Ovis aries: one gene and its partner. The protein of the gene in region 2 binds, or shares a complex with, the protein of the main gene of each other region. Links are inferred from orthologs where the notes say so. Each region holds a gene or a part of one and is shown on either strand. Other genes may lie near its edges.

Region 1 (16,044 bases), on a different chromosome or scaffold from region 2:
ATTTAAAAAAAAAAAAACACATAAACTTGTAGAAAAAAAAAGCACAAGAGTTACGCTTCACAATGCTGAAGTTCATAATACTAATTGGGTCTCATCAGTTTAGGTGAGAAAAACCATTCAATCACAACTAAGGGAAAAAATACTGGTTCTCACAATTTTTCAAAAAATTTCAAATGAATACTAACCATCTCTATCTTCTTAATATCTAACTTAAAACAGGTTATGATTATCAGTACAATTAATAAGTTGAATATTCTGGTTAACTATGAGCTAAGTGAGAATATTGGAAAAAAGCTTTTAACCTTTGCTCTTACAAAACCCACAGAAGCATCATTTGTAGATGATGATAATTCTACACCTGGCCACTGATTTAAGTTTTTTATACTCACTGAAAGGTCTATGTGGAGTTGGTTGTACCGTAAGTGCTGAGCTTAAGGTTTTAACAGAGATCCTCAAAAAGAACACTGGAGCTGGAAAATCTGAGATTATTTTGTTCAAAGTCCTCGTTATGGAACTGAGAAAAGGAAGTGATTTGCCCATGGCTACCTATGTTCTGTGCTGGGTTAGGAAGCATACTGGATCACATATCAGAAGATGATGGGTTCTATGACCATCTTGTCACTGACTCATGAGCAACTTGGAGCTGACAATCTACTCTTTGCACTTGACCATTTTCATTAATAAAATGAAAGAACTATATTAGCTAACTTCTAAACTTTGATTGAATTCTAAAGTCTGAAATTATCTGACATATATGATAACCTCAGGTGGAGAATATATTGTAAACAAAATATGCAGAACATTATTTAGCCTTTCTGTCATATCACATATACTTAAAAAAAAAAAAAAGAGTTAAACCCTTAGGCAAAAAGAAACCTTTTCTTCCTTTTTTTTAGGTTAACCAACTTTTCTTCAAGCAAAAATTTTTGCTAGATTCTGGTTAACTAAAGTAACTGTGAAGTTAAAAGTTTTTCAAAATCTTATTTCCAATAAGGAAGAATAAGAAAGAGTAAACAAAACAATAAATTTATGTTAATTCAAATGTATGGCTGTTTATCCTAAAACCACCAGCAATACTGATGAAAAATATATGCTGGGGGAGTCCGTGGGTATAATATGTCTCGCTGCATATATGCTCATTCTCATGATTCAGATTTACTAGTTGTTTACATTATACATAAAATGTCTTTAATGGGAAACTGGGCCTTCAATAAATCCTTACTTAAACTCTGCATCCTATCATGAAATAGTTGAGATATAATTAGATTCCAACCTATCCTTCAACACACAACCTGAATGTACTGAAATGGGTTATTTTTTGCTTGCTTTCTCTATTACCCAAATATAAACACATTTGTATTCAAAAGCAAACATGGCACTGACATGTAATTGTGGCGTTTTACCTTTGATGACAGGCACTCCATCTCTATCTGACACAACAATAGCATGGAGCCCCTCAACACTAGAAAGGAAAAGTTGATGTATTATAAAACACTGTCTCAAAATATGTACCTTCAAAATCATAATGATAATTCTCATATAGATTTCTGAAAAACCATGAGAACTCAATCACGGATATAAGCTCCTATAACATGTTTGCAAAACTCTTCCACCATAAGAAGCAAAAAAGAGACCCAGTTGCTGCCTTCCCACAACTTGCAATCTAAAAGGAGAGTGGCTATCGTTCAGATTACCTCACACAAATCTAACACTACAACTGTGAGAACTGCCATTAAGAGATGTGTGGGGCTACGAGAGAGCTTATAAAAGGAGGGGTAGATTCAGATAGATGGGTCAGGGAGGGCTTCCCGGAGGAAGTGGTACCTCAGCTGAGACGTTATGGTAATAAGAAAAGTGGAGTGGGGAGATCACTGTAAGCTGAGAGAACAGGACAGAAAGAATGGAGGTCACAGGGCAATCCTCTGAACCACGCTTACACAAGAAGGAAACAGAATGGTCAAGACCACAGCTCTGAAGTAAGAAAGACCTGAGTTCCCGTTCAGGCTCTGGTGTTTACTGTTTATGCTACCTTGCATCAATTACAAAACCTCGCTAAGCCTCAGTTAATATGAAAATGGGGATACTTGTACTCATTTGTGTGTGTAAGTCATTTCAGTCGTGTTCAACTCTCTGTGATCCCATGGATTGTAGCCCGCCAGGCTCCTCCGTCCATGGGATTCTCCAGGCAAGAATACTGGACTGGGTTCCCATGCCCTCCTCCAGGGGATCTTCCCGACCCAGGGTCTCCTGCATTGCAGGCAGATTCTTTACTGCTGAGCCTTTGGCTACTGTTAAATTTAATACAATGATGCATGCAAAGTGGAAGGTGGCTGGTAGACAATTAAAATTCAAAAATATGAATTAATACCAATGTTGTCATCTGTACACACTGAAAATAACATAATTTGTCCCTGCAATTTAAATATGAAATTATTAGTGAGAATTCCTAGAGCCCCGAAATGTTAAAAATTATAATGGGGAAACACTCAAATCATCATCATTTATACTGGGCTTCCACATGGTGCAGTGGTAAAGAATCTGCCTGCTAATGCAGGCGACACTGCCACAGTCACCCCAATCTTTAGCAACCACTTCCCAGACTGGTCAGCAGCCATCAATACTGAGGCAAGATCCTCCACCAGCAATAACATTAAGACTCATTAAAGGCTCAGATGATGGTTAGCACTTTCTAGCAATAAGGTATTTTTTACCTAACGATGTACACTGTTTTTTTAGACATCATGTTATTACACACTTAACAAACTACAGTAGAGTGTAAACATAACGTTTATATGCAATAGGAAACAGAAAAAATTGTGACTCGCTTTATCTCAATATTCACTTTACTGCAGTGGTCTGGAACCAAACCCACAATCTCTCTGAGGAATGCCTGTATCTTAAAATATCTGCAAAATGCAATGTTTGTTGTTCCTACTATATCCCCAAATAAATGGATGGTTGTTATTAGCTTAGGAAAGAGAAGTATTAGCTTAATATTTTAGCTTAGGAATGAGAAGTATCACTATTAACTTAATGGGCAGGTGCATAGAGTATCTCTGACAGTTAACAGTGGGTGTCTCTGAGACAGGAATCGTGTGGCTGGATGACAGGGTTAAGAAACTCCTCACTCTGTGTCCTTCAATTAACTTTTGCATCTTGAACTTTATAAATATATTGCCTACTCAAAACGTGGCAGTGTTAGTCGCAAAGTTGTATTCAACTCTCTGTGACTCCATGGGCTGTAGCCGTGAAGTGGTAGGCATTTCCTTCTCCAAAGGATCTTTCTGACCCAGGGATTGAACCTGAGTCTCCTGCACTGCAAAAAATTGTCAATCACTATACTGTGTACCCCCATGTAGGCGCAGCAATTAAGTCTTAAAAGCAGTATGAAAGATAAAGGCAAGTTCCTAGGTTTTTTAATCTAGCAAACTGCTATGAAAGAACTCTAAAGTGGCAAGAAACTGGGTTCTAGCTCTTCACCATTCACCAGCTGTTTAATTTGAGACAAGTCATGTAACTTCTCTAGGGATCATGTTGTTTATCTGCAAACTCAAACCGTATCACTTGTGCTACCTAAGATTATGTTAGCCATTTGAAAGTGCTAAATAACAGCAGAACATAGTATTAGTCTAAGATAAACAGAAACAAAATACTAAACAAAACACGTTAAGCAGAATTTATCTAATAACAAATTAGTAATTTTTACCTCGGTAATTTTTTATACAGGAATCGTTTTAGATCCTGAAAGAGAGTATACACATTTTATTATAATAATATGCCTGGTACTGGTTCTCTAGACACTGTCCTATCCACATCTCAGGTACCTTAAGTATTCATTCACAACCATTCGTGCTTGTGTTTTGTCTTTCTCGTTTTGCTTTTGATGCTTTAAGGAGTGGTGTAACTTGCAACAACTAATCTTTGCTTCTAAGCCTCAGTTGCATTATTTGCTGAGTAAGCATAATTAAAGAACCTACATTATAAGACTGTTACTAAAGTTTATTGAAAACACTCATGTCAAGTGATTAGCATATCCAGCAGTGGAAACACAAATACATATTAGCTATAGCATTAGATCATACTTCTCACACTACTGTACATCTTGTTGCTAACTTTGCATTCATTTCAGAATATATTATGAATATTTTTCCACATCCACAGACTTCTTAACGTCACTTTAAGATCCGAGGTAAGTTGAGTAACCTCGTGAAACTCAGTTTTCTTACATGACTAAAGACACATGACAAAGTGTGTCAAGCATTTAGCATGGAACATAATTATGACTAAAAAAATTATAAGACTACTTTGTCTCATTATACTCTCTCATCTGGGGAATTTCACTGACAGTCCAGGTAGCAATCATGAGTTCTACATAGGTAAATCAGATACATGTTCTTTTGACCCTCTAATTCCTACTACTCTCCAAACCTGAATGTTCATTTTAGTTCATGCTATCACCACCAGCTTACCTTTGCTCTCATCTTAAACACGAAATCACAAAACCCATCATTTTTCATCCAAAATCTAGATTTCCTCAATCTCTTCCTGTGTCCACTAATGGCACTACTGTTCCCTGTTACTTAGCTTTGAAACTTAAGGTAATATAATAACCCTAAACTCCCATGTGTCACTTTAAAAACCACTTGTGAAGTCAAGTATTTTTAAACTGATGTTCTCCTCTCCTTTTCGGATGACATTACAATTTAGGTTCATTTTAATATTTATGACTTACACCAGCCTCCCAATTGGTGTGATGGTCTATCACTTCTATCTCACACATGTCTACACAAAGCCAATAATCATATAATTCTCCTTCTCTAAATGGACAATTGCAGTGACTCTCAACCCTGGCTATGGACAACACTTGCAGAGTATAAAAAGAACTTTGACGTCTGTATTGGAAATGCTCCCCAGAGCATTCCCCATGCAGCCAAGATCAAGAACCAATGTTTGAATGGCTCTCCACTGTTTACCGAATTGTGGACGGATCCTGGAGATATCTGAGGCTCTCTACAATATGGATGGGCTACAACACATTTTATAGTCCTGCTTCCTACCACTCGCTCATACACTTCCTCAGCTCCAGATGAAATGGGCTATTCACAGCTCTGCAACACACATCTTTCTGTTTCCTATCTTTAACTTTGCTCATGCTTTCATTCTAACTATTAATAGTAATACCCTCTAGATCTTACTTTTAAAAAAAAATGCTACTCATCAATTAGAGCTAATCTCAACCACCAAATACTCCAAACAGGCTTCCCTGATAAAGACAAACTGATGTAATCCCTCTCTTCTCTGAATTTTCACACAATAATGTATGCATAGCTATGATCACTTGCCTATTGTACTTTTTTTTTAACCTTTAAAAATCCTTAAGGAGAGAAATTATACCTTAGTTATCTTTATTTCTCCCACAGCCCTTATTAGAACAATCTTTTCAAGGGAGATGCTCAAAAGAATTCAGTGATTTGATTAAGCCTGGAGAATAAGGCCTCAAAAATATACTGGAAGACACCCAAAAATGGAGTGATAAAGACATAAAAAGTTGCTAAATGTTGAAACACATAATCCTGCAACCTAAAAGAAAAATCAGATTCATACTGTTGAATAATCATTTAGTGTAGTTAAGAACATGGATTCTGGAGTCTGCATGGGTTGGTATCCTGACTCAGCAACAAACTAGCTGTGTAATCTGAGGAAGTTACTAGATCTTTCTGTGACTTAGCATCTTCATCTATAAACACAGTGATTAACAGTGCATATCTCATGAAAGTTATTGCAATAATTAAATGAGTATCTGTTCAATGTTCCAAAGAATATTTAGTGTATATATAAACAAAATGTGTGTGTTAGTTGCTTAGTGGTGTCGGACTCTTTGCAACCCCACAGACTGCAGCCCATCAGGTCCCTCTGTCCATGGGATTTTCCGGGCAAGAACACTGGAATGGGTTGCCATTTCCTTCTCCAAAAGGAATTATAGAAAGAAAGTGAAGTCGCTCAGTCGTGTCTGACTCTTTGTGACCCCATGGACTGTAGCCTACCAGGCTCCCCCATCCATGGAATTTTCCAGGCAAGAGTACTGGAGTGGGTTGCCATTTCCTTCTCCAATATAAACAAAATAACAGTATGTAAAAATATAACAGTATGTAAAATATAAACAAATATAAACATTAATAATATTAATTCCCTGTTGTTTCCAGAAACTAGTACAATAAAGTTTCCTAAATTTAGAATTTTAATTGTATTGCTGTGTTAAAAAGGCAATGGTTATAAATCATCTGAAATTGCTACAGTGAACCCAAAGAGACTTAACTGGAAAAGGATTCAGAGCAGCAAATCATCATTTAGAAACTGAAATGGTAAATATGCAGAATCTGTCTTATGCCCGCAGAACTGGGGCGTAGGAAAAATAAAATTGTCTCAACCTCAGGCACCTTTAAGTGTCTTCCACCCCCATTCCAGGCAGAAACTCAGGGCCCCGAAAATTACTCCTATTAGTCTCTGACTTCAGATCCTAGACAAAGTAATTGGAGGGAAGCGGTAAAACGAAACAAATTTGTATTTGGGAAGCGCTCTCTCCCCACCCAGTAGTCTCAACCTACTCTCCACTCTCTCCTTCCTCTTATATGGGGGTGTTAACTCACATCCGCCATGATGAACCCCTTTCTCCCGCAGGATCAATCTCCACGCCTGAAAGAGAAACTCCGGGTGACTCTCCCCTCAAGACTTCCTCTCCCTCCCCACCCCCAACCTAATAAGCAGTGTCAGCTCTCCGCTGGGTCAGGCAAGGATCCACGGCTCCAGGGCTCCAGCCAAGGAGGCTGATTGGAGTCGGAATTCCCAAATACTCAGCCGGGTAACCGAGATGCCTGACAGCCCACTAACCCCCAAAATCCAAGCCCAAACGGGAGGCGAAAGCGGCATCTTCTCTTCCGTCTCACCACCCGTGCCACTTGCGGCCTATGCCACCGGGCAAAGTGGCTGCAGTTACCTGGGTTTCTGGGTTGCCTGTTTCTCTGAACTGCCACTTCAGGGACAACTTCTGGGACAGGTTCCTCTAAAAGCCGCAGTCACATGATTTGTGACCTCTTCTGTGCTCCCGGAAGCACTTCTCAAGACACCGTCGCTAGGTGACTAGGGATTTCCGGGGCGGTACTTCGACAAGGGAGCGCGCATTTGCGCGATAAGCCCCGGTCCACTCACCGCGGGTTCCTTTTGCATCTGTGAGGAGTTCAGGCTGTCCCAGACCTCTGCACTTGAATAGAGATTGCTTTGCTTTGAGATCCCGGAACCCTGAAGATTCCCAGAAAACGCAAGCAAGAAAACGTATTTGTTTGAGGCGGGTGCATAAATTTCATTATTTTTTTCTTGTGGTCCGTTATCTTAAAACCTCTTCTTGTAGATGAATACATTTAAAGGGGGTGGTGTTACATACTGAACAGCAAGCCCCAGGTCCGTCGGTCTCTGATCGTAATTTATTAATCTTTTGGCTTCCCGTGGGAGCTACCCTCGTACTGTGACTTGTCTGGATTGAATCAAGGATCCTTGAGCTTTCTGGAGATCTCCTCTGTGCGTACATCAAGCTTTTACATATGCAGACATGGAGCAACCTTCTTTCATTGGCTCTTTATTCAGAAGACCATACTTTTTTAAAAAATTTAAATTTATTTTAATTGAAGGCTAATTGCTTTATAATATTGTATTGGTTTTGCCATACATCAACATGAATCCGCCACGGGTGTACCCCTATTACCAATCCTGACCGCCCCCCCCACCGCTACTATACCTCTGGGTCATCCCAGCGCACCAGCCCCAAGCATCCTGTATCCTGCATCGAACCTAGACTGGCGATTCGTTTCTTATATGATATTATACATGTTTCAATGCCATTCTCCCAAATCATCCCACCCTCTCCCTCTCCCACAGAGTCCGAAAGACTGTTCTATATATCTGTGTCTCTTCTGCTGTCTCACATACAGGATTATCATTACCATCTTTCTAAATTCCATATATATGTGTTCATATACCGTATTGGTGTTTTTCTTTCTGGCTTACTACACTCTATAATCGATTCCAGTTTCATCCACCTCATTAGAACTGATTCAAATGTATTCTTTTTAATGGCTGAGTAATATTCCATTGTGTATATGTACCACAGCTTTCTTATCCTTCATCTGCTGATGGACATCTAGGTTGCTTCCATGTCCTGGCTATTATAAACAGTGCTGCGATGAACATTGGGGTACACGTGTGAAGAAGACCGTACTTTTAAGAACTGTCTATAATTTTTTATTTGGTGCATTGCTTGTTTGCACATTGCACATTGCACATTGGTAGGAAAATGAGGTCTAGGGGAACTTCTTTTCCACAGATCATCAAGTTCAGTTCAGTTGCTTAGTCCTGTCCCAGTCTTTGTGACCCCATTGACTTCAGCACGCCAGGCTTCCCTGTCCACCAATTCCCAGAACTTGCTCAAACTCCTGTCCATTGAGTCAGTGGTGCCATCCAACCATCGCATCCTGTGTCATCCCCTTCTCCTCCTGCCTTCAGTCTTCCCCAGCATCAAGTCTTTTCTAATAAGTCACCTTCACATCAGGTGGCCAAAGTATTTATTGGAGCTTCAGCATCAGTGTCAACCCTTCCAATGAAAATTCAGGGTTGATGGATTGACTGGTTTGAGCTCCTTGAAATCCAAGGGATCCCTGAAAATAGAAGTGCAAAAGGAACCAGCTATAGACCAAGGTGTGGTGGAAAGATACTAATTTGCTAGTTACCCTTAGGAGGTTGAAATGGTAAGTTACAAAGCACCTAGATGTTACAAATGATCTCCTTGTCATTATAAGAGAACTTGACAGTTCCATAGCAACTGACATTGAAGACCACTTCCTTTTCCTTTGATTTCTTAGCCTCTAGAACACTGCACTTATTTTAGTTCCTCACTCAGCCTCCTCACTGTTAAAGTTTGTCTTCGAGTCTTCTGCTGTTTTTCTTTCCACAGTATCCTGAGAATGTGATTCCTAAACCTGCACCTTTCCTCTGAGCTCAAGGTTCATATTTTCAGCTGCTTGTTGGATATTGGATATTTCTACATACCTCTGTCAGTTCTAACCCAAAGGTACTAAAAAACTCCAGTAAACCTGTTTCCTGATCTATGTCCTTGTTGGTTCCATGATTCTGTCAGGTATCATGTTTGCTTCTCCTTTCTCATGTCCTTTTCTCAACAACGATTTTTTACATCTATATTTTTTTCAGCTCTTCATTCAACCCTTACTGTATTCAGCAAGACTATATCAGTAGCCACTTAAGGAAGCCCAGTTAAACCTTTCTAAAACAATGTATATTATTTCTGACCAAAGAAATCTTTAGTGACACACCATTGCAGACAATGCTTGACATAGTCTTTAATCATTTCATTTTACTTGTAAATGCAATCTAATGTGAATCCTATTTTTCAGCCAAATTGATTATATCACCCTTCCATCAAAATGACTCTTATTATCTCAGGTAGTTGTGGGGGTTCCTGAATCTGAAATGTTTATTTCTCCTGTAGGAGAGGAAAAACTTCCTTACACCTGATTAGATTCTGTGGCTGGGGCCAACAATGAAATTGACAGACAGATTGACAGGATCAAAACATACAAATTCATTTACTATTTTTACATGTACATGAGAGTCTTCAGAAGAAAAATGAAGATCCAAAACTTCATTAGGCCCGAAAATTTATATGCCATTTTACACAAAGAACAATAAACTGTGAGGATGAGACAAAACAAGGGGCTTAGGTTAACAGCAGTAAATTGTATGACGGTGACTATTAAACATATGGAATAAACTAATGGAAGATAAGGGTTATTTTAGTAGGTTTGTTTATACAGGTCCATTTCAGTGTCAGTCCCATCTCTGGTGCTAAGAATGTTCTTCTCTTCCTGGTAGAAGGAGGGCGCATTTCTCATGGGAAGTTTTACGACAAGCCTTTAAGTGAAGATGGGAGGTCAGAGAGCCTTTCATGCATTTGCTGTGGCATATTTCAGGGTGGCATGTTCTAAACCCTTTCATTTTCTACCTTAGCTATTTAAATCTTGTTACCTTATAACACCTCATCCATCACATTCTCTTGAATGTTCCTATATATTACCAAGAAGAAATGATATTTATTTGTACATAATTATGTGTTATAGCTTTAATTTGCTTATCCAATGAGACCATAAAGTCTAGGAGGGGTCATGGTTTCAATTTTTTTTTTTCAGTTTCTTACAATGCTTGTTTCTTGCACTCTGTAGGTACGCATTCAACATTTGTAGAATGAAAGTGATTACGAGAAGTCATTAGTCTTGACCCTGACTAAAACTCATTTTTCATTTCCCCACTGTTTCTCCCCTCCGTTTGCCCCTAAGTTTGGAGTCAAATAAAAATATGAACTCTATCAAGACTTCTAATTTCTGGAAGCATTAGTTTTCATTTTAACAAAATTATCCATCTTAATGACATTATTACATACTAGTTGACCTGGAAAACATTGCTGATTTTTTTCTTCCTCTTGAGTGACAAAAAGGGAAAGCACAGCTTTCCAAGATCTTCAGATACCAAATACCACCACTAACGTCTGCAAATTGAAAAATCTAGTAAGATTTTTAATTTCCAAGCATGGTGGTTTCTAAATTATGGCATGTCAGTAGAGCTCCTTATGTACTCAGACTGATCTGTTTGCATTTACCCATGCATTTACCCATCAATAACACTGCTGTTGGTCCAGGACTAGGGGAAATATTTACTGACCTAAAAGATTATCAGCAGGATATGCCAGTTTTCCAAAGTGGGATGTAACAGATGATTGCTGAGGTTCAGAAAGAAACAGACATTGTATGCATGCCTCTGCACATAAAATTTTTACCTCATTATACAAATTTGCTATTTTGCATAATAGTACAGGAAATAGTTAACAAACACATGCTCTGACTGTTATATCAGAGCCTTTGTTTCTGCTGCTCTTTAGCTTAAATTTCTCTCAGCTGTTGAATACAGCTTAAAAATTTTTTTTCTTTAATTCTCAATTTTTAAAAAAATTCTGGTTTCCTATCAAAAAATAAACAATCATCTGAATTTAGGTTGGTTCCACTGGCTGTGTAAAAATTCTAGCTGGTATGCAAACTCAAACGGGAAGGAGAGGCTTGCTGATTCTCTAATATACAAAAATAAAAATTTTATAACTTACACTGGCCGAGTTGTAAAATGTCTTATAAATTTTGCTTCTGCCTGTGGTTTAGAATTTAGTCTGTGGAAAATACAATCTAAGATCTATACAATAACTTTCTCTACTGTACTATCACCCATTGTTGTCACACATCAGTCACTTCAGAAATCACTAATTCCCTTGATCTCTGGCTTACATCTAATAGTGCAATTACTCACTTGTCAACATCTTAGACACCCCTGCCATCTTTCCTGCCTGACATAACCTCAAATTTAGATGAACTAAATAAGTGTATTCTCCACATTTATGCCAAGGCTGCTGAGTTAAGCTGGAAAAAATATACAACATTTAACAGACTGTAAATTCTGTCACTAGTTTGGTAGCCACAGAAATCATCCTTTTCACTAGTCAGCTGACTGAGAATGATTTCTTCAAACTGTCTTCATTCTAAGTGTCTGCTTATCATCCTTTCCATTCCCCAATTTTACATAAATTGCTTATTGCATTAAGAAAATACAAGCCATAACATCGAGCCACTAATGCTACAAATCTGCTTTTGTACTCATCTTCTGTATATTCCTTTCTGAAAGAATGCTGGTGGTGTCACATAGCTAAAATAATTATTCCATCTTTGCAATGGCTCCAACATCCTCTGGAGTATCAGGTACTTAATGCTATTATCCTTCTTTTTCTCTATCTTTATTCTTTCACTCTGTACTTGCCCCTTTCCATCAGAGTACAAAGAATTAGTAAGGTTTCTCATGTAATAGTAAGTCTTCATGTAATAAATAGTAATTGAAAAAATAAAAGCCTTCTTAGAAACCACATCTTCTTCCAGCTACCACCCTTTTTCTCTACTTCTGTTCACAGCCAGATTTTTACAAAGTTTTTAAATTGCTGCCTCTATCCCAAATCTAATCAATCAAATAATTCTCTTGATTCTACCTCCTATCTCAAAATCAATCACTATATATATATTTCTACTCTGGTGCAAGCCATCATCATCTCTCCCTGACAATACTTCCTATCATTCCTACATTCACTTTTACCCTCCAGTCTTCTCTGCACAGCAACTAAAATGTTATTTCAAAAACACAAATCTCATCATATTAACCCCTTCATTAAAAGTCTCAAAGGTTTTCTTTGAACACACACACACACACACACACACACACACACACACACACACACACACACACAGAGCCTCATGGGATTTGGCCCTTAATTCTCTAACTTGGTCTCGCTCCCTAGGTCATAATCTTACAAGTTTGTTTTCACTTCTGTAAAGTTTCTATGACCTTATCGACTCAGCACACTCTGCCTGAAATACTTATCCAGCATTCACCTCACTCTGACTTATCTCATCTTATGGGTTTCAGCTTAAACTCACTTTCTCAGAGAAAACTTCCCTAATCTCCCAGAGTAAAGTCTTCTAGATACATGCTTTCATTGTACCTTGAAATTTTCTTTGTAGCATTTATCATGCGTAGTTATTTACTTGACATTTATTTCCCTTGCTAGATGTAAACTTCATGAGGATTTTGGTCTTGTTCAGTGATTAATTCCCACATTACGTCCTGGGTCATAGCAAATATTCATACGTTTGTTGACTGGTTGAATGAATGAAAGAAAAGTCATAGTAAGAATATAAAACATGATAAGAACAAATCCTTTACAGTGAGAACAGACCTTCTTTTTATTCATATATTGAGATAAACTGCAAAGACTGAAAGACAAAAATTCATCATAAATCATTCAGAACATTCATTAAAAATCAAGTGTATTTTCTTTAACAGAGTTCTCACACAGAAAATTTCATTTTATGTAAGTCTGATACAACATTAAATATTTTACAAATCAGACATTTCATTTTTAAATCTAACTATAATTTTGAATGCACTATAGACAAAGAAGATCTTTACCAATTTCACTTCATTTAACTTATACAAGGCTTCCATTAAAATTCCATCACACCTTGAAAATTACCTGCAGCTTTTAAAAAAACACATGATCTAAACTTTATATGGAAAGAAAATTCTTATGTAGCAATCCAAAAACTGAGAAAAACAAAAAAGGTAAGAAGCATTTCTTAATACAAATAAATTACAAAAATGCCATTTATGTGTGAGTTTCTTTCTTTTCACTGATAACTGTCATCCACCCAGAGTCCAAAACAATTCATTTTAAAATTGATGCTTAAAATACTCCAATGTCACTGAAAAATCTATTATTTTAGTGGTACTATTAAATGGCAAAGTAGGATATCAGATTAGAATGTCCAAACTCCTATACTAAAGTGAATGAGACATTCACATTCATGCCAGATGTCATCTGTTATGCATTACCAGTTTGGCAATAAATAATCCCAATTTTTAATGGAAACTTACTAAAACATTGCAAAAAACACTTCTTACCCTTTACATATTTCCAGACTGCTATAGAAAATACAATTATATTTGAAGTATGGGCTTTATAGTAGGAATCTCTGTTAAAATATGGAAAAGATCAACAAAAAAGAACCCACACCAATGAAATTCTATGGACTGATTTTCAAAGTTAGAAATAAGAAAATCCACTGCTAGTGGAAGCCCTGCACTGTGCACATATAGTGTGGTATATATTAAACAATCACACATTTGAGGTATTAGCTGGAAAATATATTTATATATATATATATTTATCTATATATATACACCTATACATGGACACATCCACAGAATATTCACAAATCTATTGGCCCCAAAACCAGCAGATAATAAAATTAAATGAAAAGAAATTACATACCAACAGGAAAGTTACACACAAGGAATTTACAAAAGATGTGGTTACATAATCCTTAATATAAGGAATATGTTCTGAACTAGTGTTTTGAGGGAAAATGTTTCCATTTACATGAAACTATCAATTTAATAGTAATAAAACCAGAAAGGAAGCCTGAATTTGACAACTGTATTGCCTGCCAGATGATTAAAGGGATGTACAGGAGTTCTTAAAGATGCTCATTCTATGCACTTGTTCTTTAAAAAGAAAACAAAACAGAAACTGTCGTTATGAGACTATATAGAGAATTTTACAAACTTTAAGCAGTAGTCCAATGTGGCCAAGAGACAGTCGTTCAGCTATCTAATACAGATTAAAATTAATATCTATTATTCATTTTCAGAAGGTTTTCTGTTTAAAAAATAGATTATAAATGCCCTTTCAGCTGGCTACTCAGTATGAAGACAGACAACAGTATAGTAATACTGAACACAAGCTTCATATGGAGAAGCTAAGTAAGTGCACAAATTCTCCTTTTGAATCTTTTGGTCTTTTGACATACTTCTTACTTAACTAAAAAGACAGCTTATTGGTCCTCAGGCCAACATTATGGAATATTTCACTGCCTTTACACAGGTGGGAGTTTTTAAATGAAATCTGTTGAATGAATTATTAAGTAATATTAACATGTCACATCTGTTAAATAACACCTGCATTTAAAAATATTACAGACCAACAAAGGGAAGTCAAGAGGTTAATCATTTCTCTCAGTATCTATTTTACATGCTAGTGTAACTAAAGATGCAACAGGAAGAACACTTAAACATTAAAGTGCAATTAAAATAAAGGGCTGGAATTCTATCTTCCTGTTCTTAACAATAAAACCTGAAGTGACATACAAGCAGAGAGGCCTAATGCACTGGCACACATGTACCTTAAGGATTTACTTTTCTCTACCAAATCTTTGTAGATCATAAATAAGAATGGAATGATTATGAAACAAATACTTATTTAAGCATTCAAATGCAGTCTGTTCCCAAAACATAGTTTCACTTATCATTTCTCATTGTTGAGAATTAAATTCTCAGATTTGCTCACAATAAATTCCAAAACTTACAAAGGACTAACACCTATTGGGAAACAAAAAAATCAAAAGAGGAGGAGAAAAGATACTATTTACCTTCTCCCAAATTCCTGCAAGAACACTGATGTCTGTGTGTGTGTTTAAAAGGGATAAAAATGTAAAGCATTAATAAACGTAATTGCTTCCAAACTTCTAAAATACCAGTCAGAGAAGCTAGTAAAGCAATATTCAAAGACTGAAAGCATTAGGCAGTGATTAAAATGAAGAGGACAAGTTATCATATTTAATTGGAGAGCTCAGGTAGCTAAAAATACGATGGCAAAACATTGGGATTTTTGTTAGAAGAGCAGAAAAAGTGAGAATCTCACATTTCAAGATACTTTGATTACAGAAACAAACAAACATAGATTAGGTCACTTTACTTTGTAGAATTAACCCAAAATTCTAAGACACTTACTTGGACAGGCCTTTATATCATGACATAGGTGACATTAAGGACTTACTCTTTACTTGCATACTTTCATGTAGCTTAAATTGTCAGGCACTCGATCAGTGCTTTACCAAAGTCATTTGAACATTTTATCAAACACATTTTATGAAATTTAATGTAATGCAACTGAAATATAATACTGTCCAAAAGCCATGTATAACTTCGTAAAATATAACCACTTAACATGATAACTTCACCTGTTCCTTTAAAATCAGGATTAAGGGAAAAACAATCAGTCAACAAGAGTTCAATTCACATAAACATCAATCACAATAGTGTAAATTTCCCATTAAAACCAGAAAATTAATGGATGGAATTTTTTCATTTAAATTTTTATAAGTTTTTGGGTGCATACAAACTTTCAGTTAATTAGAATGCTATTACTTTATTTTTTTAAGAAATTCTATAGGCTGAAGAAAACATTTTAGATTATATTTTCTTTTAGGCATGCTATTTTTTTTTTTCAAGGTTACATTTCTAAAGAAAGTTGGTTAAGCTGTCCAGTTTTCCTAGGAC
Region 2 (16,086 bases):
GAAGCAGGCTCCCTCCCATTTTTGCCCCTTCCCCTTTCCCACCCCCATCCCTGAAGGTTCAAGCCGCACTTTCGAAGGCCTTCTGGAGGAGCTAACCATGGAGTACGACAGAGAAACCCTGGGACACAAGGGATCGGAATAATACGTCCACCTCTCTATGAAACACTTGTTACTGGGCTATGCTCATTTCACTATGAATGAAAAGTTCAATGAATAAACAATTTGAAACTTCGACCTGCTCTAGAGCGGCAAGGGAAGGGGATGGAGCATCTTCCTGGGAGAAACGGGGTTGTCGGGGGTTCTTTCCGTAGTCCAAGAACCCTAGCCTTCTGCAGCAGCCTAACCCCTGCCGCACCCCCCTCTCTCCTCCAAAGTCCAGCCACCTACAAATTCCGGCGCCTCCGAAGCCACGCCCCTTCCCTTCCGCTTCCGGTTTCTCACCAGTCATTCGGTCCCGCACCCCGGTTCCGGCCCCGTGGGGTCTCGGTTCCGGGTTTGTTGCCCCGGTTCCTGGCCCCAGCTGGTCTGTCGGGCCGGGCCGGCCGCGCGCAGCACCAGTCGGGACTTGGGGCTCCCGGAACCACCCTAGCGGCCCCTCCGCCCTGCGCCGTCCCCGGCCCACCTCGCCCCCCGGCCCGCGCCGCCCATGGAGTCCCAGTGCGACTACTCGATGTACTTCCCGGCCGTGCCGCTGCCGCCGCGCGCGGAGCTGGCGGGGGACCCGGGCCGGTACCGGGCGCTGCCCCGGCGCAACCACCTCTACCTAGGGGAGACGGTTCGCTTCCTGCTGGTGCTGCGCTGCCGGGGCGGTGCGGGGTCCGGCGTCGGGGGCGGCCCAGGCTTGGGCTCCCGAGGGGCCTGGGCGGAACTGGCGACCGCCCTGGCCGCCCTGGCCTCGGTCAGCGCCGGAGGCGGGGCGCCCGGGGGCGGTGGCTCGGGCGACCAGGATCCCGAACCCCCGGGGGGCGGGGACCCTGGCGGTGGGGGGTTGTTTCGAGGCTGCAGCCCCCTCCTCACCCACGGCCCGGGCCCTGCTACCTCAGGGGGAGCGACCACGGTGAGGAGCCCAGAGCGCCACGACACAGGGCGGAGGGGCGGTTTGCTGGGCTCCCAAGATCGGAGGGGAGAGGGACGCTAGCGGGAAGCTGGAGGCCTATGACGGATGAGGAGAGGGGAGGGCGAGAACGACGTACCGTAGGTCTTAAAGGGGACGCGGGCGCGGCGGGCGGCCTTGACTCTCCTGACCTCTTCAACCCCTCTGGCAACCCAGCTGCCTGTGGAGGAACCAATTGTGTCCACAGATGAGGTCATCTTCCCACTCACCGTTTCACTGGATAGACTGCCCCCAGGGACACCTAAAGCCAAGGTAAGGCTGGCACGGGGTGGAGCTCTGTCTTAATTGAGACGCCCTTTCTGAGGCTGTTTCTCTTGACTGTGGTCCCGTGTCCCCTGTGCTTAGATTGTAGTAACCGTGTGGAAGCGGGAGGTTGAGGCACCAGAGGTCAGAGATCAAGGCTACCTGCGCTTGCTGCAGACTCGATCTCCTGGGGAGACCTTCAGGGGCGAGCAGAGCGCTTTCAAGGCCCAAGGTGGGGAGGAGAATGCAGACAGGACCTGCTAGTGTCTGAATTTTGTGGGGACGGTGGAGGGGGTGACACCAGCAAGTGCCCGATCCGAGGAGAGGAAGACTGGACCCGTGGGTTGGAGGTGAGGTGTGCCCAGTCCGTCATCTGGAGCCTCCGCCCTCTCCTGCAGTGAGCACCCTGCTGACTCTGCTGCCCCCTCCGGTTCTGAAGTGCCGCCAGTTCACTGTGGCTGGAAAACACTTGACGGTGCTCAAGGGTGAGCAGACTAGAGGCTCCTGTCTTGGGTGGCAGCAAGGGCACTGGCTGGGTGGCCCTGGACAATATGGTGGGGATAGATCCATTTTAGGGGGGGGGAATTGGTGTGGTCTGAGGAGTTCAGATTCTCTTAGCTGAGCTGGTTACCTCCCACAGTGCTGAACAGCTCCTCCCAGGAGGAAATTTCTGTCTGGGATATCCGCATTCTCCCAAACTTCAATGCCAGTTATCTACCTGTCATGCCCGACGGCTCTGTGCTGCTGGTGGACAATGTCTGGTGAGGTCCTGGGAGGGGCGGGGCCGCAGAGTGCTGGGCATGGTCGCAGGGCCCAGGGCTCTGGCAGGGAAAGTTCAGCTCTGGTCCCTTTCTTCTCAACTAGTCACCAATCTGGGGAAGTCTCCATGGGCTCCTTCTGCCGGCTCCCTGGTACCTCTGGCTGCTTCCCCTGCCCACTTAGTGCCCTGGAGGAACATAACTTCCTGTTTCAGCTCAGAGCGGGTGAGCAGCCCCCTCCAGGGGCCAAGGAGGTGAGTACAAGGGACTGGTGTGTTTAAGGAGAAAGGCTGAGAAAATGCAATGGGAAGAGAGAGGCCAGGGAGTTGACTAACGGGAGAGGGAACCTCTCCTTCAGGTCATCACATACAGGTGATGTTTCTGCTTGTCCCTCCAACAGGGCCTAGAGGTTCCCCTGATTGCTGTGGTTCAGTGGTCCACACCGAAGTTGCCCTTCACGCAGAGCATCTATACCCACTACCGGTGAGTTTGTGGGACACCCCCCCAAGCTCCCTGCTGGACACCATCCTGTTCATCTCTGTTTCGAAACACACACATCCTGCTTTCCTCTCTCTCACGGCTTCTAGCCTGCCCAGCATCCGCCTGGACCGCCCGTGCTTTGTGATGACTGCTTCTTGTGAGTCCCCTGTTCGGACCTATGAGCGTTTCACTGTTACCTATACGCTGCTCAACAATCTCCAAGACTTCCTTGCTGTAAGGCTCGTGTGGACCCCGGAGCACGCCCAGGCTGGTAGGTAGCTGCCAGGCTTGCCCAAGGAGGAGAGGGCAAAGGAAGATGTCATGGAGGCAGGTGACTTGTGCCAGGCTGCGTCAGCTGTGTACCTGGATGGTCTCCACAGTGTCATAACGGAGAGTTTAGAGAGGCCATGGGCAGAGATTTTAAGGGCACTGACACTGATGCTGGGTTCCCTGTTTGACTTGAATATCTCCCATTTCTTAGCTATGTGACCTTTAGTAGGTTACTTAACCTCTCTGACCTCAGATTTCTCATTTCTAAAATGGAGGAAATACTACTTCATGGCGGTGTTATAGCAATTTAGTAAGTTAATATGTGTGAAGTGGTTAGAATAGATCTCAGTACACAGTAACTATTACTGTTGTTTATAAAGTTTAGCAAACAATAGCATATACTCAGTTTACTCCACAGAGTGGCTCCGAGCATCAGGCAAGACTGTGCTCATGAAAGCCCTCTGCAGACTGAGAAAGGCTGCACAGAGCTGTTTCCCGGCCCTGTTTCTGCCCCTCAGGAAAGCAGCTGTGTGAGGAGGAGCGCCGGGCCATGCAGGCAGCCCTGGACTCCATCGTCTGCCACACACCCCTCAACAACCTCGGCTTCTCCCGGAAGGGCAGCGCGCTCACCTTCAGCGTGGCCTTCCAGGCTCTGCGGACTGGGCTCTTCGAGGTGGGCTGGGTGAGGCCTAGCATCGGGGTGGGAGGGGTCAGGGCCGCTGGCTTCTATGCTGAAGCATAAATGGGTGGGTGCTACAAAGCCGGGTGGAGGGAAGGTGGGCTTTAGATCTGACTTCGGCCTGTCACGTGGGGAAGATGACCTGAAAGGGGGTCGGGGGCCTGGCAGCCGAGCTGGCCGGTGATCTGTGTCTCCCCACCCCAGCTGAGCCAGCACATGAAGCTGAAGCTGCAGTTCACTGCCAGCGTGTCCCACCCGCCACCCGAGGCCCGACCCCTCTCGCGCAAGAGCAGCCCCAGCAGCCCTGCCGTCCGGGACTTGGTGGAGAGGCACCAGGCCAGCCTCGGCCGCTCTCAGTCCTTCTCCCACCAACAGCCCTCCCGCAGCCACCTCATGAGGTATGGAACTGCATGGGGAGGACCCCGAGGGCTTGGTAGAGGCCAGGATCGGGAAGGGAGAGGACGGGACCCTGGGGTCCGGCCAGAGCCCACAGCCTCCACTTTCCTCCAGGTCGGGCAGTGTGATGGAGCGCCGGGCCATCACTCCCCCTGTGGCCTCCCCTGTCGGCCGCCCCCTCTACCTGCCCCCGGACAAGGCTGTGCTCTCTCTGGACAAGATCGCCAAACGCGAGTGCAAGGTCCTGGTGGTGGAGCCGGTCAAGTAAACCATCCGGCCGCCTCCCTCTCACACTCCGGGAAATGGACAGCCCCCAGCGCGGGTGCTCCCTGCAGGCTGTGCCTCCCCGGGGAGCCTCCCACCAAGGGTGAGGGGGCCCCCCACAGAGCCGCCTGTCTGTGTCTACTGATGAGGGACGAGGGAAGAAGCTGTGAAATGGCCGGGGATGGCTGCAGTGTGAAGCCGACAGTATTTCCTGGACTTCCTGGGGGGGCTGGCCCCACCCCTTGGCCAGGGCAGTGGCTCCAGGAGCTCCCCTGCCCCCCGCCTTGCACCCTGGTTCTAAGTTTACAAAGTGTTTTCCTTGTTCCTCTTACGTTGTCTTCCCCGCCTCTGACATTCCCTCCCTCCCTCCCACCCGCAGGGCTGAGATCAGAGGGTGGTGATGGTAAAGGGACCCAACAATGACACGACCCTCCTGTCTCAGGTCAGGGGAGAGAGCTAGGTGGCCTCCCCTCGTCCTCATGTTTACGTCTGCAGCCTGAAGCACTTTAAGTTGTGTGGGATTTTTGATTTGGGTTTTGTTTTTTTTTTTGGTCTGTCTGTCCCTGTAACTTATTCTCCAACTACTGCTTCCAACTGAAATAAGACTATTAAATGCCTGTTCAGGAGGGAGAAAAAGACTGTTACTTGTGTGTTGGTGGCAGCGGCAGAGACCTAAGGGCTCAGAAAGATTCCCTCCAGCCTGTACACCAAATAGCTCCCTTCCCACTTGTTTTTTTTCTTCTGATTTCCAGTTTTATCTGTCCACCCCACGCCTCTGGGCTGAGGGCCCGGAAGCTGAAAGACACATGGGGTATGACTCTCCTCCCCCAATACACACAACACATCCCCAGGTCCAGGAACATCACACTTATGTTTATTAGGCAGGGTGAAAAGAAGGGAGGTCCCCTCACCTTCACTGTCCTTAACAGAGTACAAAGTCCCCGAGCCTCTGCCCTTCCAGGTCAGGGTGGGGAAGCCGGTGAGCAGACAGCTTTAGTTCTAGTGGCACCAAGAGAGAGGCCGTGGAGGTTCCCATCTTTCTCAGCACAGAGGTTCCTCCTCTGCCCCTCGCCCTCGGGCAGGCTCATACGTCAATGGGCTCCCGGCCTCGGTTCTGCCTCTTCACCACAAACACCCTCTGTCCCGACACGGTCACAAGCAGCGTGTGTTCTCCAAAGACCACTGGAGGGGAGACGCACCTTCCCCCAGCCCGGGAGAGGGAAGGGAGCAGAGAGTTAGTGGGTTATGGGGGCCTCAGTGGGGGTCGCACACAAACTGGCTAGGATCCAAAGCCAAAGGAATTCAACAGGTCAAAGCTCAGAGATTAGAAGATGGGAGGTCTCCATTAAATCCCCTCCCTTCTCTTGCTTTTCTCATAGTTCTGATACAGGGGTAAATACCACAGGGAAGACAAGGATTCCAGAGGAGATGGTGGGCAGCTGGTAGGAGACAGGTGTCTTTCCCTGAGAAGAGTGGCCTTGGGGAGCAGCACCCCACCCCCCTTCCCCACTACCAGAGGCCGGGGCTCACCCGACAGACGCTTGAAGGGTACGCTCATGCCTTGGTGCAGCCGGAAACCGCAGGCCGTGCTGACGAGCTCAGAGATGGCGCTGGCAGCCTGCTCGTCATTCTCCAGATCCCCGGATGACTGCACACAGAGGGAGGGGGGCAGGAATCAGGGACAGACTGGGAAGCAACTCCAAGAACCCTTCTGTGTAACCTGTCTCCACTTTCCAACACTGCAACATCACCCCTAGTATTGGAAAAACTTAAAACTTTCCTATGATATTGTTGCCCCTCTTGATGCCATCTTGTTCCAAAATACTGGGCTTCCCTGAGGAAGTAGGAACTCTCATCCATTTCTGTCCATTACTGACCCTGTTTCCCCAATCCCTGAATCTTCATTTCTCTCCCTGTCTCCACTTATTTGAAAAAAATCACATTCTTACAGATTAGTGCCCACCCACCACAGCTAGAGTCCCAGGCTCCATCTTTTCCCATTTCTCATTTGTCACCCTGTCTGCAGAACCTGAAACATAAACATCCCTTTTCTCTCTGAACCCCTTCGGACTACCTGGCCCTTGAATAATGACGTCACAGTGGCCTGGGCTTCCTCTTTTCTGGTAATGATCTCAACTTCTTACCTCCTCAAGGTGGCCCTCCTGCTGGATTCTATACCTGTTTCCTCATCTGTAAACTGGGGACATCAGTACCTATCTTACGTGCTTGTGAGTGTCACAAGAGTACTGGGGCAAGATGCTCAGATTAGCTCCTGGCATTATCTATTTAACGGCTATTCAGTTCAGTTCAGTTGCTCAGTTGTGTCTAACTCTTTGCAACCCCATGGACCGCAGCATGCCAGGCCTCCCTGTCCATCACTAACTCCTGGAGTTTACCCTATTATTCTATATCAAACTTAGTGTTTAAAGCTGCACTATCAAAATCCCCCCTATCTCTCCCCCTCTCCAGTCAACTTCCTTTCTTAAGTCCCTGCTGGTTAAGGCACCATCATTCTAGGCTTGAGGTCAAAGTCTTACAGGATAGAAAAGTATCCCCTTTATTACTGAACTCTAGTCATTACAAAGACAAACCAATTCTTCCTTTAAAAACCCCTTCTCTCCTTGCTTCTCATTGCAACCAGAGGTTTCATACCTACATTTTGGCAACAGCATCCCCGCTTTTGAATCCTGCCCCTTCTGTCTTACCTTTACGCCTAACAGAACAATGCTACTCAATCACTTCATCAGCTTGTTTCTGTTCAAAAACCCTTCAAGATTAATCCAAATGTGTTAACCTAGCCTTGAAAGTCCTTCACAATCGGACCTTTCCTCACCATATCCTCTTCTTCCCCCAAATGTTTCCAAATCTTTTCAACATAACCCCATCACCAATTCAGATAGGCTGGTGTTACACTCCTGCAAAATGTCCACCTCCCAACTCTGAATATTCTTTCTTTCCTGTCATCCATCCATCTTTTAAGCCCAGATGAATTCTTACCTCGTCCAAGGAAGGTTCCTTGCCAAAACACAAGTTATAGTATGAAGGGCTGAATCCTTCACTTTCTGGACTCCTTCAGCTGCGTTAACCACATGCACTACTTTGAACTTTTAGCCTTAAGCCTTGTCTCTAGCTAGATTGAAAACTTCTAGAGCTGACACTGTATTGTACTACAGAACAAAATACCAAGCCTCTTCAATAAATACCAAATAAAGACATACTCAAGAGTAACTTGGGGATTGTCAGTTATCAACAAACCTGTAACTTGCTTGACTTTGGTAAAGTCAGTAAACCTCTTTTACCTCAGGATAGTTACAAGACTGAGAGTCCAGAGATTGATTAATTGATTTAATTCCTACACGCCAGGCGTGATACCAGGGAAAGACAAGAACAGAGACCAATCGGGCCAAACAGGGCAACATTAGAAGGCATCCTAGAGTCATGTGTACTTGGAGCACCCCCCCTCCCGTTTCCAGAACGCACCGCCAGCACCGCGCCTTCACTCAGCACCAGGTAGCCAAGCTGGTCGGGGATTCGCTCCAGCCCCTGAGTCAGTGCCGAAGTCTGGTGGGTAAAGATGCAATTAGTGAGCAGTAGGCCGAAAGGATGGCCCTTGGGCAACCAGAGTGCCTCTCTTGACAGTGCCCCCTGCCCCCGCTCCAGGCCTCTTTACCCAGCCAGGGCCCTTCCAGACCCTCTTCCCTCTACACGGCCTTCAACACTGATGCTCCTGAGCCTCCGTCAGTCCTCTCCTCCGCCCGGGCGCCACCAGCTTTCCACACGTCACCTTTGCTACCCCAAGGGCCCCCTCCCCAAACGCACCTGTGGCCTGCGCCTCCCCCTCAGACTAGTCCCCAGCTTCTACACACCCTCCCAGCGACTTCTCCTTGGCCTTCTACGTCACCACCCCTCCCTTCTCCATTTCCTTCCAGTCCCAGGGAGAATAGGAGGTGAGGCCGGAGGGCACGCTCAGGACCCCGCAACCAAAGAGATTGGGGGACAGGGGTAAGGAACCGCCGGCGCGGCGCGTAACTCCGCGCATGCGTCCTCACTTACCATCGCAGCTCTAGGTGCTGGGGGAGCTTGTAGCCAGACCTAGTTCCGGCTCCAGACCGCGGTCACGTGCTTCCACCCAGCGGTCTCCTCCTCCGGCCCTGCCCTGCCCGACTTTAGTCCCGCCCCCAGGATGCCGATTGGAGAGTGGCTACGTCATCAGACTTACTCTGCCAGTGCGGAGCGCCGCTTCCGAGACGCTCGCGCATTGGCCGCACATCCTCTTGAACATTCATCTCCCTTCCCCTTAGCCCCAGAGCGCGAAGGAGGGGGGCGTGTCGGCGGGGGGCGGGTCTGGAGGCGGGGCCGGAGGGAGGCCGGGCTGAGAGTTTGCGCCTGCGCACACGGGGGCGGCGGGGGCAGACTCCAACAAGGCTAGGTGGCTCGCAAGTGGAATCCTGAGCGAGCCAAAAGACGTAGATAGAGAGCTATTCAGATGCTACTCTTGTGCCTACTTCAGGCAGCTCTCTGACAGGAATTTGTTCCAAAGCGATTTTTCGTCCCGGGATTCTGTAAGAAACTGTGTGATAGAGCATTATACCTCCCTAGTCCATGGGGCGCTAACGGTCGGACACGACTGAGCGACTTCACTCTCACTTTTCACTTTCATGCATTGGAGAAGGAAATGGCAACCTACTCCAGTCTTCTTGCCTGGAGAATCCCAGGGACGGGGAAGCCTGGTGGGCTGCCGTCTATGGGTCGCAGAGTCGGACAGGACTGAAGCGACTTAGCAGCAGCAGCAGCAGCCAAGGCAGCTGCAATACTGAATATTCTCTGCCAGGAATAATTAGAAAATGACCTTGGGGTAATTTTTTAAATATATGAGTGTCATTTAGAAATTTTTTGTTTTAATTTAAGTAGTTTTTAGACCTGCTGCAATATTAATGTGAGGCAAAATGATGATAAACTAATAAAAAAGCTTGATGAGGATTTGGAGACATTGGGGCTCTCATACATTGCTGGTAGGGATGTAAAATAGTGCAGTTGTAGTGGGAAACAGATTGGTGGTTCCTCTGAAAGTTAAATAGAGTTACTATATTTATAAATGAAAGTTAAATAGGACCTAAAAATTCCACTCCTTCATACATACCTAAGAGAACTGAAAACTATGTTTACACAAAAACTTGTACACAGATGTTATGGCAGCATCACTCATAATCGCCCCCAAATGGAAAGCAACCCAAATATTCATAAACTGAAGACCAGATAAAGCAATGCGGCATATCCATACAATGGAACATTGTCCAGTTGTAAAAAGGAGTGAAGTACTGATCTATGCTATCACACAGATAAACCTTGAAAACATGCTAAGTGAACCAGAGATCAAATTACCAACATCCACTGGATCATCGAAAAAGCAAGAGAGTTCCAGAAAAACATCTGTTTCTGCTTTATTGACTATGCCAAAGCCGCTGACTGTGTGGATCACAATGAACTGTGGAAAATTCTGAAAAGATGGGAATACCAGACCACCCGACCTGCCTCTTAAGAAACCTATATGCAGGTCAGGAATCAACAGTTAGAACTGGACATGGAACAACAGACTGATTCCAAATAGGAAAAGGAGTACGTCAAGGCTGTATATTGTCACCCTGCTTATTTAACTTCTATGCAGGGTACGTCATGAGACACGCTGGGCTGGAAGAAGCACAAGCTGCAATCAAGATTGCCAGGAGAAATATCAATAACCTCAGATATGCAGATGACACCACCCTTATGGCAGAAAGTGAAGAGGAACTAAAAAGCCTCTTGATGAAAGTGAAAGTGGAGAGTGAAAAAGTTGGCTTAAAGCTCAACATTGAGAAAACGAAGATCATGGCATGAAAAAGTTGGCTTAAAGCTCAACATTCAGAAAACAAAGATCATGGCATCTGGTCGCATCACTTCATGGCAAGTAGATGGGGAAACAGTGGAAACAGTGTCAGACTTTATTTTGGGGGGCTCCAAAATCACTGCAGATGGTGACTGCAGCCATGAAATTAAAAGATGCTTACTCCTTGGAAGAAAAGCTATGACCAACCTAGATAGCATATTCAAAAGCAGAGACATTACTTTGCCAACAAAGGTCTGTCTAGTCAAGGCTATGGTTTTTCCAGTGGTCATGTATGGGTGTGAGAGTTGGACTGTGAAGAAGGCTGAGCGCCGAAGAATTGATGCGTTTGAACTGTGGTGTTGGAGAAGACTCTTGAGAGTCCCTTGGACTGCAAGGAGATCCAACCAGTCCAATCTGAACGAGATCAGCCCTGGGATTTCTTTGGAAGGAATGATGCTGAAGCTGAAACTCCAGTACTTTGGACACCTCATGAGAAGAGTTGACTCATTGGAAAAGACTCTGATGCCTGGAGGGACTGGGGGCAGGAGGAGAAGGGGATGACAGAGAATGAGATGGCTGGATGGCATCACTGACTCGATAGACTTGAGTCTGAGTGAACTCCGGGAGTTGGTGATGGACAGGGAGGCCTCGCGTGCTGCAACTCATGGGGTCGCAAAGAGTCGGACACAACTGAGCGACTGAACTGAACTGACCTGAAGTGAAGGAACTCAGACAATCCAGGCCACATATCATCTGGGTGTATCTGTGAGATGTCTACACTGGGCAAATTCATAGAGACAGAAAGCAAATTAGTGGTTGCCGGGGGGTGAGCAGAGGGGGAAATGGGGAGTGACTGCCAACAGGTGTGTTGGATGATGAAAATGTCTTGGAATTACAGAGTTATGATGGTTTCACAACCTTGTGGATGTAATGAAAACCACTGAATTGTACAGTTTAAAAGGGTGAATTTTACAGTATGTGAATCATATCAATAAAATTAAGTGCTGTTGCTTGAGGAGAAAACCAGTTAGAGAAGATGGATGCCTTTTTACAAATCAGGTATGATTATAATATAAAATTTAAATTGGAAGGGGATTTAGAGAGAGAAAGTTCTGTGGAGATGCTTGGTCTGCAAAACCTTCCGTGGCCTTGTGGAATCTTTTTTTTTTTTCTCAGCACACACTGGTTCCAAGCATTTTCATCTATACACTGGCCAAACCCTCATTAACCATCTTTGTAATAATATCCCAAGATACTATATAGATGAGGAAGTGGAAACTTGAGAGAGATTGAGCCTTGCTCATAGCACACAGCTGGCAAATGACAGCCAGATTCCAGTCTAAGTCTGCTGTTGCTGAGGCTGATGCTTTTTCCATTGCTCCCCTGGCCAACTTTTTTTTTTTTTGAAGTTACACTTGATTTTACCTCAGAAATTGCCGGTTCTCATTGTTCTTGACACAGAGGAACCTTTCACAGGACAATGCTCAGCAGCCATTGCTAGAATTGTTTCATTTTCACAAACAGCTTGAAACATGCTACTTATGAAGGGAGCAAAGTCTTTCATTCAACCAGTGTTTATTGAGTGCCTTCTATGTACCACACACTGTTCTTGAAACTAGAGATAATAGCAGTGAATACAAATAAGACATTTTTTTAAATTGTTTTCAAGGAGCCGTGGGGCAGAGGGTGAGCCCAGATAATAAATTAATAAATAAGAAAATAAGTATATTGACCAGTGAGAAATGCTATGCAGAGCAGAGTTCCATTTACAGGACTTAGAGCTAGAGAATTCTCTAAAACAGACCTTATTGAAATAATTTCTATCTTTCCTTAGGCTCCCCACAGCTTAGTCACTTTTCCTCAGTTGCCTCTTTTTCTTCTACCTGCTATAAAAAGCACGTAGATTCGTCCATTTCATTGGGTCTTCATTTCCTTGTGAGGGCTCCCATGTCATATAAAACTTGTATTGAGTAAATTTGTATGCTTTTCTCCTGCTAATCTGTCTTCTGTCAAGTTAATTCTCAGGCCCAGCTGAAAACCCTAAGAGGGTAGAGGTTAAAAAAAAAATGCCTCCCCTACACTGTGAAGGTGCTTTTAAGGTAGGAAAAATATTCAGTTTTGAATAAAGCACATTAGCTTCCATGATGTGGATGGCCTTCATCCAATCCACGGAAGGTCTTAAGAGAAAAGACTGAGGTTTCTGGAGAAGAAGAAATTCTCATCAAGAATTTAATTACATAGAAATATTAGGGGAAGCACACTGATTGAAACTGCCCACCCTGCCCAGGCACCATAGTAACTATTTGCATGAGTACAGAAACACTGCTGAGTTCCAGCCTGTTGCCCAGCAGATTTCAGACTCAAAACTGCAACATCAGCCCTTCCCTGAATTTCCAGTCTGCTGGCCTAGCCTACAGATTCAAGACTTACCAGTCCCCACATATTGTGAGCTAATTCCTCAAATTAAATATGCTCTCTCCCACCAAACCCATCCCCTTATTCTCTTGAGAACGCTGACTAACACAGTGGTTAACTTATGGCTGGTTCCTGTGGGTTTGGCATCTTTGCTGCCTCCCTTTGCATTCTTTTTCTGTTTGATTCTGATTTTGGGGAGTCGTCGTTTGCTTTGAAACTAGACCTCCTTGCCTGTCACACACAACCTCCTTTTCTCTTATTTTCCTAGAACCAATTATTACCCTATCAAACAGCCATCAACTCTGCCTTTCTCGGTTCTCTTCACCCTGATGACACCAGTTCAACCAGCACTTTTCAAGGACTACAGGGTAAGCATCATGTGCTTTGGGAATAAAATGGTGAAAACACACAGCCCTGAGCTGTGAGTGCTCAGCTTGCAAGTGAACAAGGCAGGCGCGGAGTCACGTGAAGTGTAGTAAGAGTAACACTTGAGAGATGAGCCCCTTCAGTCCTCTGGGACAAGCCGTGTGCACTGGGAGGGGTTGAGTTAAGGGTGAATAAAAGAATGCGTGGTTTCCAGTCAGGAGGCTCTGCTAGGCTGAGGGGTGGGGGGGTATTGTGATCTTTTGGCAACGGACTCAGACAGGAAGGAGCAGGCCAGCTCTGCCTCTGGGATGGATGAAAATATGTTATTTTACACGTCAGGATTTGTTCCCTCCTTTTCAAAAGAAGGGCAAGAGCAGAGTTAGAGATCCAGAGGCCAAAATAAAAACTAAAAACTAGAAGGAAGTCCTGGGAGAAAAGCCAGGACAATGTAGGAAAAAAATCATTTAATTTGCAACTCAGCATAGATTCTGGGGATCTAGAGGTGAATGCTTAAATGGAAACTGTTCAATTCTCCAAGCCCTAACTAAAGGAATGGCCTTATTTAAAATCAAGAAAATGGTGCCCCAAATTATACACACCTTTGTAAGTCTTGGAAACATATTTATCCTTGGCAATTAATAAATTACAATTTGGCATATAGGAAAAAAGTTTTGTAGGTAGCAATGTGCTAGGTATTGAGGTAGACCCCGGAATTTCAAAGGTGCACTAGGTCCTCATCTTCAAGGAACTCACTGTCAAGAAGCTCAGTGAGCACTCACAGGATATTATTTTTTTATATGTATTTACATTTTTGAAAAATTAAACTGTGTATATTACAAATGCTATGTGTCATCCCTTTGGGCTCTGCCAGTGCCACCCTGGTGTAAGTGGAGCACCAGTTCTCATGGCCTTGTTGCCTTCAGATGAAGGTGCAAGTTCAGGTCCACACCTTGCCCTACTGATGTCAGGTGGGGGAGTGCAGTGCCAACCAGTGTTTCTTCATTCCACTTTTTCCTGCTGTTTTGTTGCCATGTGGGAACAGACACTTAGATCCCTCCTGGAGTCAATTTTATTTTGATTAACATGTATGTTACTTTGCATTCTTTACACCCTACAGAGAACCCATTAGCGAGCTTGCAAATGGAAATATTCTTTAAGAATACTCAGTGGATGGAATACATAGCAGAAGGGATATCACTTTAGAGTGAATTAGTAAGGTTAAGAATTACTCCAGAACTCACCAGTGTTCTTCAGAACACTGTTACAGTTAATAATTCTTTACATTAACTTTCCCTGTTCAGATTAACATGTGATTTCTTTTTCTCCTGATTGAACATAAATGAAAACACTAGTAATTCCTAGTAAATCACCTTTTGACATTTCTATTTTTCTCAGTAATAAAAATAGCCCTGGAATTTCAGTGGCTGTTTGACACAAGTAAAGTTTATTTCCAACTCACCTGAAGTCCCGCTAGTGTCTGGGAACAGGCTTTTACACTGCTGTCCTGCAAGCTGCCACATGGGAACCCAGGTCCCTTTCATCCTGCAACTCCACTGTCCCCTTGGGTCTCCCCAGAGGTCACTACTGGGTCCTCCGCACTCAGCACACTGGTGAGCTGAGAGAGACAGAGACAGAGAACAAAAGGTTGCATGAGATGTTTTGATGCCAGGCATGAAAATGGTGTGCATCTTCACTGCCCAAGTTCCAATGACCACAGCCGACTCGTGGTCCAAACAGGGAATTTGGGAAGCATTGTCTTCAGGAAAAGAAGATGCAACTAGCTAGCTCCTCCTTCCCATCTTTCTAATGTATTTACATTAATTTTGTGTTGTTATTGTTCAGTTGCTAAGTTGTATCTGACTCTTTGCAACCTGCATGGACTGCAGCATGCCAGGCTCCTCTGACCTCTATTATCTCCCAGAGTTTGCAAATTCAAATTCATGTCCATTGAGTCAGTGATGCTATCTAACCATCCCAGCCTCTTAGACATAGTAATCTGTGTTTATATTTTATAATTATATAAGTATTTTCCTCTTCGTAGTCAAAACAAATACTGTCATTTAGTTTCTTGTGTTTCCTTGGCTCTCTCTCTTTTTTCCTCTCTCCCTTCCTTCCTTTCTACTTTTCATGAGTAAATAGCACCTGTGGTGTCCAGGCATTCTTCTAGGTTCTAGGAACATAGCAGTGACCAACAACAACAAAAGATTCCTGTGTTATGGTGCACACACTCCAGTGAAAAGACTCAGAAACAGGTAACAAAATAAATATACATAAGATTCTGAAGAATGAAAATTTTTCTGCAAGAAAAAAAATAATGTGAAAGTGCAAGATGGTGAGGAGGAGGAAGATAGTCAGATTAGATGGTCAGGAAAGATGCTTCTGAAGCAGTTTCATCTGGGCTGGGCCCAGAGATAAGAGGGCTTTCCTGGTAGCTCAGACGGTAAAGAATCCATCTGCAGTGCAGGAGACCTGGGTTCGATCCCTGGGTTGAGAAGATCCCCTGGAGAAGGGCATGGCAACCCACTCCAGTGTTCTCACCTGGAGAATCCCCATGGACATAGGAGCCTGGAGAGCTACAGTCCGTGGGGTCACAAAGAGTCAGACTCGACTGAGTGACCAAGCACACACATGCATTCGGATAAGAAGCAGCCAGCTCTGTGATGATCTTGGTGATCATCTCTGGTTCATTCAGCCCTCTGCCTCTTTTGCAACTGCACCTGTGCATCGGAACACACTTGGAGAAAAAGTTGTCTGAACTTTCTCACTGACTGTTCTCACTCTAGAGTCTGACCACAAACCTCAGGGGGCCCTACTGCTGCACAGTAATCACAGTGGTTCTCAGAATGTGATCCCCAGGCCGGCAGCGTCAGCCTCACCTGCGGCTTGTTAGATATACAGCTTCTCAGGGCCCACCCCAAACCTACAGAACCAGGAATCCTGGAGTCAGGACCGCCAGAATCAGGAGGAGCTGAAGCTTCCCAGGTGATTCATGGTAAGAGAATCCTGCCAATCAATGCAGGAGATGCAAGTTCCATTCCTGGGTCTGGAAGATCCCCTGGAGGAGGAGATGGGAACCCACTCTAGTATCCGGTGAGCTACAGTCCAGGGGGTCGCAAAGAGTTGGACATGACTGATCGACTGAGCCCGCATACACGGGGAGGAGCTCAGTCTGTTTCAAAAAGTCCTCCAGGTGATTCTGACGTGCACTGAAGTTTGAGCCACCGCCCCGGTGCCCCTG

What was found.
Region 1: LAMTOR4 (region 2) and LAMTOR3 share a complex: the UniProt entries of both Homo sapiens proteins name them as parts of the ragulator complex. The link is inferred for Ovis aries from reciprocal best matches to the Homo sapiens genes LAMTOR4 and LAMTOR3.

The regions. Positions count from the first base shown.
Region 1 is NC_056059.1:25,112,876-25,128,919, reverse strand, and holds the start of LAMTOR3 (ragulator complex protein LAMTOR3), read right to left. Parts: upstream 7,087-16,044; 5' UTR 6,995-7,086; intron 6,694-6,994; 5' UTR 6,657-6,693; coding exon 6,648-6,656; intron 3,742-6,647; coding exon 3,707-3,741; intron 1,463-3,706; coding exon 1,404-1,462; intron 1-1,403. UniProt on the Homo sapiens protein: As part of the Ragulator complex it is involved in amino acid sensing and activation of mTORC1, a signaling complex promoting cell growth in response to growth factors, energy levels, and amino acids.
Region 2 is NC_056077.1:36,675,424-36,691,509, forward strand, and holds LAMTOR4 (ragulator complex protein LAMTOR4), read right to left. Parts: upstream 8,316-16,086; 5' UTR 8,261-8,315; coding exon 8,258-8,260; intron 7,766-8,257; coding exon 7,685-7,765; intron 5,853-7,684; coding exon 5,550-5,852; 3' UTR 5,387-5,549; coding exon of another isoform or gene 5,289-5,386; 3' UTR 5,057-5,288; downstream 1-5,056. Other genes in the region: TRAPPC14 (trafficking protein particle complex subunit 14), read left to right, coding at 647-1,057, 1,271-1,366, 1,460-1,589, 1,756-1,842, 1,998-2,118, 2,222-2,369, 2,516-2,598, 2,703-2,866 and 3 more. UniProt on the Homo sapiens protein: As part of the Ragulator complex it is involved in amino acid sensing and activation of mTORC1, a signaling complex promoting cell growth in response to growth factors, energy levels, and amino acids.